Linked DNA regions of Mus musculus: region 1 is reported to be linked to region 2. Evidence: microRNA targets listed by miRTarBase, many of them from high-throughput screens and not tested one by one. Region 2 holds a microRNA gene; the other region holds the end of a gene's coding sequence.

Region 1 (4,405 bases), not on the chromosome of region 2:
CGTTTGTCTGTGAGATGTGCACAAAAGGTTTCACCACCCAGGCCCACCTGAAAGAACACCTAAAAATCCATACAGGGTACAAACCCTACAGCTGCGAGGTGTGCGGAAAGTCATTCATCCGCGCCCCAGACCTGAAGAAGCACGAGAGGGTTCACAGCAACGAAAGACCATTTGCGTGTCACATGTGTGACAAAGCCTTCAAACACAAGTCTCACCTCAAGGACCACGAGAGAAGACACAGAGGGGAAAAGCCTTTTGTGTGTGGCTCCTGCACCAAGGCCTTCGCCAAGGCCTCAGACCTGAAGAGGCATGAGAACAATATGCACAGTGAGAGGAAACAGGTCACCCCCAGTGCCATCCAGAGTGAGACAGAACAGTTGCAGGCCGCAGCCATGGCCGCTGAGGCTGAGCAGCAGCTGGAGACAATTGCCTGTAGCTAGAGGTGATGGGTTAGGAACACTGGGCCTGGGAGGTGGATGCTAAGATTGCATTGGCTGTAGTCAGTGAACACCTTTGACCGCTTTGTGGCAATTTACAGCGTTGTGCTGGCTGGACCTAAGACAGTGCGCACTCCGGTTAGGTGATTCTCAAATTTCTCAAGGCAGTTATGTTCCTACGTTCTGACCAAACAGTTTGCTTTTTTTATCTTTTGGTTTGTGTGTGCGTGTGCGTGTGCGTGTGTGTGTTGTCTAGTATTCATATTCCCAGTAAGCTCCCCTACCCTTCTTTATGGTTTTAATTTGAAATCTCCTTTGTCTGGTTTAAAATGAGTGGCTTCTGTTTCATTCTTAATTCCTCAACTCTTGCCAAGCTGGTGAGTGCACTGCACAGAGTCATGGAATAAATTGATTTCCTAGTCCCAGTATATGTGACTTATGTCAAAACAGCAGTTTTAATAACTGGATACAAGACCTTTATATGGATGCAGAAAATGTTGGCACGCGCTGACCCAGAACACTGCAGAAGTACAAAACCAAATTTGGAAAAATGGAATGGTTTTAGTTTTATATTTGGTTTGTGATTTTTAAATCTCTCTCTCTATATATATATATCATTGTTTCTCACTGTTCCTTGGACAAATAATGGTTGCTTTGCTGAAGTGTTCCTTCATCCATTACAATGGCCCCTGTACCCACCCCAAATGCTGCAGGTCATGTATACCTCAGGATGAGTGAGACCACCAGGATGCTGGTGGTGTTGGGACTCAGTTTCCCTTTCATTCAGTGTGGCCATGCTGTCTGTGTGTGTCCGTGCAATGGACCAGCATCGACAGGAGAAGAGTCTGACACAAGGTTTTCACAGATACAAAAAACCCCTAGGTCTTGAAATCGTGACTGATTTCAGAAATGGTTTTGTATTTAAGATCAAAATTAGGACAAGCAGCAGCAATGTTTCTTCAAATGCGTTTTTGTAGTTTACAGATGGTCAGGCCTCGGGGTCTCTGCATCTCTGCAGCACTCAATTTCCCTTGGAGCAGATGCTTCCTTAAATACGTCTGAAACCCTTCACGTGTGTAAATAGTATTGTTGGTCTTATGTATTTCGAGAAAAGGGACAGCTGCATTTTTTTTCTTTCCTTTTTATTTTTTTTATACAGTGGATTAAAGTACCTTTCATTGGCAACACATATCAGACCCCTTTAACCAATATTAAAGACTATCAGACCAAATGTTTATGTTTTCCAAATATGTCTTATCACTGGTTGCAGTTTTCAATAGAAGCTGATTGCCCTGTCATAGCCATAAATCGGAATTATGAACTTTGTTTCAGATTGGGTGTACTAAAACGCTCCTTTGACTATTTCCTTAAGGATATATTGAAATGCCCACAGAGTTTGAATTATGTTCTGTAGGAAAGTGTAGACAGTTGTTTTAGGATGTGTACAGTTGTAGAAGGTGCCAACTTTAAAAGCTCATGTTTGGTTCTTAAGGTTTTCTTTTTAAAAAAAAAATGCATTAAAGTAATTTCGTTACATGGCCTGCTGTACTAACATCTGTTATTACTGTCGTGAGAAAAATTTTATTTTTAAAACCGGTGTCCATGTTGTGCCAGAGATTGTAGGATGGAGGGGAGGCTACCTTTAAATTTTTTTCTTTATTTATCGTTAAAATGTTTCAGCTTAAATTAATCTTTCCTGAGTGTTTTTTTTTCTGTTTTGAAGGCAATCCCATCAGTTCGTCTGTGCAGTTAGTAGGAGGGGCCGGACTGGTGATCCTAGGCTGTGTTAACCAAAGCAAATGTGAAATCAGCTGGCATCCTGTTGATAACTACTTCAACAAACCATATTTTGGGCCTTTGTTTTTGTATATAAAGATAATGATACACTCCTCTTGTTCTTGATCATTCTTTATACCACTGTTGTTAATGTCCAGATCTATACGCTACCATAGTCATGGTTTCATAGAGGGTCACACTCCTGATCTAAAATCAGTCCCTATAAAAAGCCTTGTGGACAGGTAATCATGTCATTGTGTCCCAATCTGAGAAAACAAAGTAGAATTCTGAATACTTCGTATTACATGTTTAGTGTTTGAACCTTTTTGTATTTGTGTTATAACTTCTACCATGGGTTCTGGGTTCTTATGGGAGTACCTGTTTTTATTTTTAGTGGTGGTGGACTCTTAAAATTACTTTCCTTGGCCCTGAACAGGAACAGTGCCTCTCTACATCCAGCTAACTCTAGTCATCCCTAAGGTAGGAGGGACCCACCCGCAGAGGCATGGCGAGTTCCTGCTGAGATGCGCTGGCCCCCAATCTGCAGTGTGAGCAGAAAGGAATTCTAAGCCGGGCAGTGGTGGCGCACAGCTTTAATCCCAGCATTTGGGAGGCAGAGGCAGGCAGATTTCTGATTTCGAGGCCAGCCTGCTCTACAAAGTGAGTTCCAGGACAGCCAGGGCTATACAGAGAAACCCTGTCTCAAAAATAAATAAATAAATAAATAAATAAATAAATAAATAAATAAAAAAGAAAGAAAGGAATTCTAAGCATAGGCTATCTTTCCATCAATACTTCAATACTTCTTCCTGTACACTATCTGTGTCCACAAACATTGTGTTGACCCCCTCATATTAGCATTGGTTTAGATGATAAATGCAAGGAATTGTAAGGAATTTCATGTAACTGTAAAATCAGCCAAGAAAATTAAGCATCCCCGGTGCACAGGCCTATCAACCCAGCCCCTCAGGAGGCTGAGGCAAGATCACAGGTTGACAGCCTGACTGGCTAAAGAGTGAGTTCGAGACCACCCTGACCAAATGACTTGACACTAGGGATATGGTACAGAGGCGAAGCGCTTGCTTATGTGCTGACGGATACACACAAATTGAAGCACCTTTTGAACTGCCCTGAGTGTGAGTTTAGAAAGTTTCTTCACCTTTCAGGTAAAAATGTGGCCTTTTTCCTCATTGCTTAACATGAAAATTAACACAACACTGAGCCCAGTATCCTGCTTTTTGGGTTCACCATGAGTAGTTCCTGTTGTACTGGTTCATTTTGGACATGTTATCAGTCGGTAACTTGGCTCACCTCAAACTCCAATATATGCCTGCCTCTGCATCCTTAGGGTTGGAACTAAGGATGTGCTAGCAAACTGCACCATATCAGGGATGTTCTCAGTGGATACAGAAACAAGATGCCCCCGCCCCCGCTCCCCACACCTGTCAATTCTATAATTGCTGGCTCTGCATTGTAGCCTGACACGTCTTTTTAAAGTGTTCACAACTGAGAATGTCTTAAGAAAGTTCTGTTTAATTGGCATTTATAAGCTGTCCATTCACAGCTTACATACTCATTCTAGAATTTTCTTTGGTTTCATAATCACACCTCATTTGCCCATTTTTAAGTAGGTCATTGGCGTGTAGTCAAGTGTATACATACACCCTGATGTGGTTGGCTTCCAAATCTACTCAGGGGACATAACAACACAGGCAGAATTGCAATTCTGAGAGCCACACATGAAGTTATCCATTTAGACAATATTTTTATATAAACCTTTCCCAAAGTGAATGTGTTTTAGACTACACTCAGTATTATCTGTCCTGGTTTACATAAATTCCAAGAATATCTGCTGTTTCTTCACTGAAGGGGTTAAGACTACCACCCCCGAATTTTGACTTTAGTCTGGAGTTACTGCTTGCTTTCTTTCGAGGATGTTATCAATAACCTTCCAGGAGGACACTTTATGTGGAGTCCGATTAGTGTCCATTAACAATACTGGCTGAATGTCTGCTATTTACTGAGCTAGGCATTGGGCTAGGTACTGAGAACCCAGCAGGAGTGGGACTGACCGGCTTCCTACTGTCCAGGAACAAAGGCCTCACCTATGCATGCTCACAGAATTCTACACCTGTGAAGATAGTATGTATCATCCAAATGTGCAAGATGCTTTTCAATTTGGGAGTGTATTA
Region 2 (4,405 bases):
TGGTGTGAGGTGGAATCTTAGGGTTGTTTTGATTTGCATTTCCCTGATGATTAAGGATGGTGAACAGTTTTTCAGGTGCTTCTCTGCCATTCGGTATTCCTCAGGTGAGAATTCTTTGTTCAGCTCTGAGCCCCATTTTTTTAATGGGGTTATTTGATTTTATGGAGTCCACCTTCTTGAGTTCTTTATATATATTAGTCCCCTATCTGATTTAGGATAGGTAAAGATCCTTTCCCAATCTGTTGGTGGTCTTTTTGTCTTGTCTTTTGCCTTGCAGAAGCTTTGCAACTTTATGAGGTCCCATTTATCGATTCTCAATCTTACAGCACAAGCCATTGCTGTTCTATTCAGGAACTTTAATAATGTTATTTAAGAGTTGTATCAGAACTGTTATAATATGTACTGTGACCTCCACCTAGCTTCCAGAAATCATGAATTCTGTACCCTAGTAATTTTTAGATTCATTTATTGGTAATAAATAAAAGGAATCTATTTTCCTCTGGGAAGAAAAGAATGTCTCTCTTTCCTATGCCTTTCAGTGAAGGCATGATCAAATGAACATGGCAACTACTGACATCTCAGAGAAACAGCCGACGGCAAGACACACGGGAGACGAGGAGTGTTACCGTGCAGGCTACACAGCTGTTTCTCTTCACTGAGACACCCAAGCGGGAGTGTGAAGGCTCTGTGGATCTGGGGGAGAACTGCAATCAACCCACAGCAGCTGTGATTGCCTGCAAAAGATTGGGTCCTTCAGCTGTGCGATGGAGAAAGGGAGAGTTTCAGGGATGTGGCCCCTACTGCAATTAATGGGGGAAGGAGAGACATTTTCTTCAATAGTATATCAACTGGAAAGGTTCCTACGCTCCTATAAACTGTGCTAATTAAGCTTAATAGGTCACAAATGAAAGGCAAAAAGATATAAACTTAGAAGGCTGGTTAGTTGGGAAGAGGTAAGGGGTTAACAAGACTAGGAAAGAGAGTGATCAAAGAACATTATGTATATATATTAAAAATTGCCATGACATTCATTTTATATATAATACATTCTAACACTGTTTTTAAAACAAAACCTTACTCTATGATGTTCTTTAAATCTGTTACTTTAATAAAAATTATTTTCAGACAATGGAACATCAAGAACGATAAGGAATGAAAAGAGCACTGGCTAAGGGGTAAGAGTGATCAGAGAACATTGTACACATTGTGAAAATGTCACAACAAACCCATCATTTTATAAAATTAATATATGGTGATAAAACATAAAAATAGAAAATTTTCTTAAAAATTAAAATTGCAGCATTGGGACGTAAACCTGGCATCTTCCTCCAAGTCATGGAGTAAGATATCAGAGAAGCAGAACTGGGCACAGTGTCAAATGCTTGTCATCACCCAGCTGGAAGCCTGTGGCAAGAACTTAGTTCAAGACTTCACCATGAGCCCATGTCTCAACAAAGCAAAAAGGAGGGAAAGAGACAGATAAAGACAGAGGTGGCAACGTGCCACAGAATCTTCAGCAAAGTCACGTAGGAGACCTTCATCCAAACACAGACAATAAGGAGTAGGTGTTCCCCCCCAAAAGGTAATAGAACATCCCATTACACCCAGCCACTAGACACAGAAACCTGTGGAAGATGTGGCCTCCCTGCAAACACACTGTGGGTTTCAGGATCTGATGGGCTAAGGGAGCAGCTGTACTCTCCATGTGAGATGCCCCCTCATGACAACCACAGACTCCTTTCCTAAGTATCAAAGTCCTAAAGTCCACAGATAACAACAGAGCAACTCAATGATTTACCACAAATATCTCAAAATAAAACTACTAATGTTTCCAAAGAGAATAATGTACTTATTGAAAACAGTGTTCGATTTTTTTGCAGATCTTTTTGCCTTAGGGTACATACTGTAGCGAGTGGTCAGAGACTGTTTTAAAGCTCTTTAGGCTGGAAAAGGTATGAGGCAGCTTTTCACTACTGGAACGAAACATTGAAGATAATTCACTGAAAAGGTGGAGGAGTTTCTTTTGGCCTCTGGTTTCAAAAGACGCTTCTTATAGTCTGATGGTTTTACTATACTGGTTCCATCCATCTAGTGACTCCAATAATATCTCCTTAGTTGTTGGGAGGATCCATTGATGCGTCTCATCATTGGAAAGTTTCACTGATGTCACTCAGAGTTGAATGGCCCCACTGATGGTTCTCATGGTTGAGGCACCACTGGCCTGTGGTAACATCATATATGATGATTGGAGTCATGTGGCAGACAAAAATAGGTTTACCTCACAATGGCCAGGATGTACAGAAGAAAGAGGAAAGGACCACAGGTCCAATAATTTCTTCAAGGGAATACTGTGTGACCTAACTTGCTCTTGCTAGGAGATTCCTCCACCACCTCCTTCAGCTGCTTAAGACTCCGTCCCTCAGAACTGTTTGTCTCAATTGGCCATTTAAGTTTAATAAAAGTAAAAGACTGGTTAATGATAACAATGCATCATAAAACCTTCAGAAGGAAAGAATGTTGTGGACCATTTTTTTTTGTGTGTGGCAGTTTTAAGTTATTAGTTTTCAAAATCAGTACTTTTTAATGGAAACAACTTGACCAAAAATCTGTCACAGAATTTGAGACCATTAAAACAAGTTTAATGAGAAAAAAAAAAAAAAGACTCCGTCCTTAGAAAACCATCATTTCCTCTCTTCATTACTGATAACTGATTGGGCTCATTCCATTTATTTGCTATGATAAACGCTGCTTCTCAGTAAATAAGCACTCTTTAGATTTGTGATTTATGAACCATGATAATGACAGTAGAGGCGTCATGAAACATATCCTTCCCCCTCCACCTCCTTGAATCTGATAATGTCCCACAGTGAAATACAGGAAAAAATACTGGTCATGATTTTTTTTTCTGCTCACACATATAACAAAGGCAACCATATTGAACTTACCATGCTATGAAAACTTCACACCACATAGAAAAGCTCAAGTGAATGAGTTGTCATATGAAGAGAGAGACAGACCGGCCACTAGTCAGAGAAGTTAGTCACCTATAATGTGAATGAAGGCTCCATCTTTGAAGTGTATCTCTAGCCACAGCTGAAGCTACCTCAGATGACACTAGGTAGCCCCTTCGGAGGTCCTGAATTATATAACAATGAGGCTTTTAAATAGGCTTTTAAGACTCAGATATGTATTGCAGAGAAATATAACAAAAACCAGATGTTTAATTATATATAATAAATTATATTTTCAGTTATAAACTTATTTTTTCTTATGGCTGACCAAATAAATTCTCTTCACATGTAATGAGGAGAAAATGGAAGGTTACATTTTATTTCAATCAACTTCTAATTTTAGACATGGCCCTATCCATCATAGCTAGCTATACATATATATACTTTATAACTACTGGGTTCAATAGTAAATTTGTTCAAGTTTTGTTTAACTCTCTGGAAAGTTGCCTTCATATTAACAAAGTATTTCCTGGTTTCATTAATGTCTCTTGTTTCTACAGCTTTTAAAATATTCTGTGCCATTCAAATACTTAGGTGATGTCTCAGAAGAAATCTAGATAATAAAATGAACCACTGATTTCCAATAAAGGACATTACAGCTCTGCTATTCCAGTTGAGAATTTCATCTGGCTTGGTCAGAGTAAGATACACAGTCACATCTGTACCATGAAAATATTTAAAGATCAGGACCACAGAAGGAATATTTTTCTTTTTTTTTCCATGTTTGCTTTATAGAAAATAATATGAATAGTGAAAATTTTTATTATTTATTTATTTATTCATTTATTTATTTATTTATTTATTTACATCTCAAATGTTGTACCCCCCTCCCTGTCCCCCCTCACAGAGTTCTTTCCCCCATCCTCCTCCCTTTCATCTCTGAGTGGGTGATCTACTCCAGGCATCCCCCTTCCCTGGGGCATCAAGTATCTACAGGAAATTTCCATTCTAGGGCTCTCTTCTCTTTGGTAAAATTAGGGTCTATTAAATTTCTGAATATGCATGTAAACTCAGTTAAGTAGAGCTGTATTTCTGACTTAAAACAGTGATGCATAGTACTATTTACTAAATGACACTCCATACAGAATTACTTCTTATGCTGGATAAGGAAAGAAACCTAGTTTCTATTCTTTGCCTATTTGTATCTAGATACTTCCTTGAATGATAAAGATTATTTTTATCTTAATCAAATAAATAATTTGAAAATATTAATGGTCACCTATATTACCCATATGCAAACTACAAGCATAAGACATAAGAAGAAATCTTAGCTTTATCATTGGAGGTGCCATACATATAAAATGCACTCCATGGGGGAAAAAAAACCTAGTTAATTCTGCAGTGCAATGTTGTTTCTATATTTGGTAATTTTGTGGCTAATTATCTATACTTAG

What was found. The annotated mature microRNA mmu-miR-703 reads AAAACCUUCAGAAGGAAAGAA and lies in region 2 at 2,495-2,515, shown strand. An mRNA with a match to its seed (bases 2 to 7 or 8) in the 3' UTR can be bound and repressed. Matches are read on the target gene's strand: a 7mer-m8 pairs with bases 2 to 8, a 7mer-A1 pairs with bases 2 to 7 and ends in A, and an 8mer does both.
Region 1: miRTarBase lists Zbtb14 as a target of mmu-miR-703. Seed matches in the 3' UTR shown: 7mer-m8 at 1,290-1,296 and 7mer-m8 at 1,927-1,933.

What each region holds. Positions count from the first base shown.
Region 1 is chr17:69,388,219-69,392,623 of GRCm38, forward strand. It overlaps Zbtb14 (zinc finger and BTB domain containing 14), which reads left to right. Exons shown (of 3, transcript NM_009547.3): 3 at 1-2,534. The coding sequence ends at 440. Among named protein-coding and RNA genes, the nearest start is that of Gm49894, 6.2 kb to the left of the region's middle.
Region 2 is chr5:98,473,726-98,478,130 of GRCm38, reverse strand. Mir703 (microRNA 703) reads left to right here and starts at 2,467; the gene lies at 2,467-2,575. All of the region lies in intron 2 of Cfap299 (cilia and flagella associated protein 299), which reads right to left.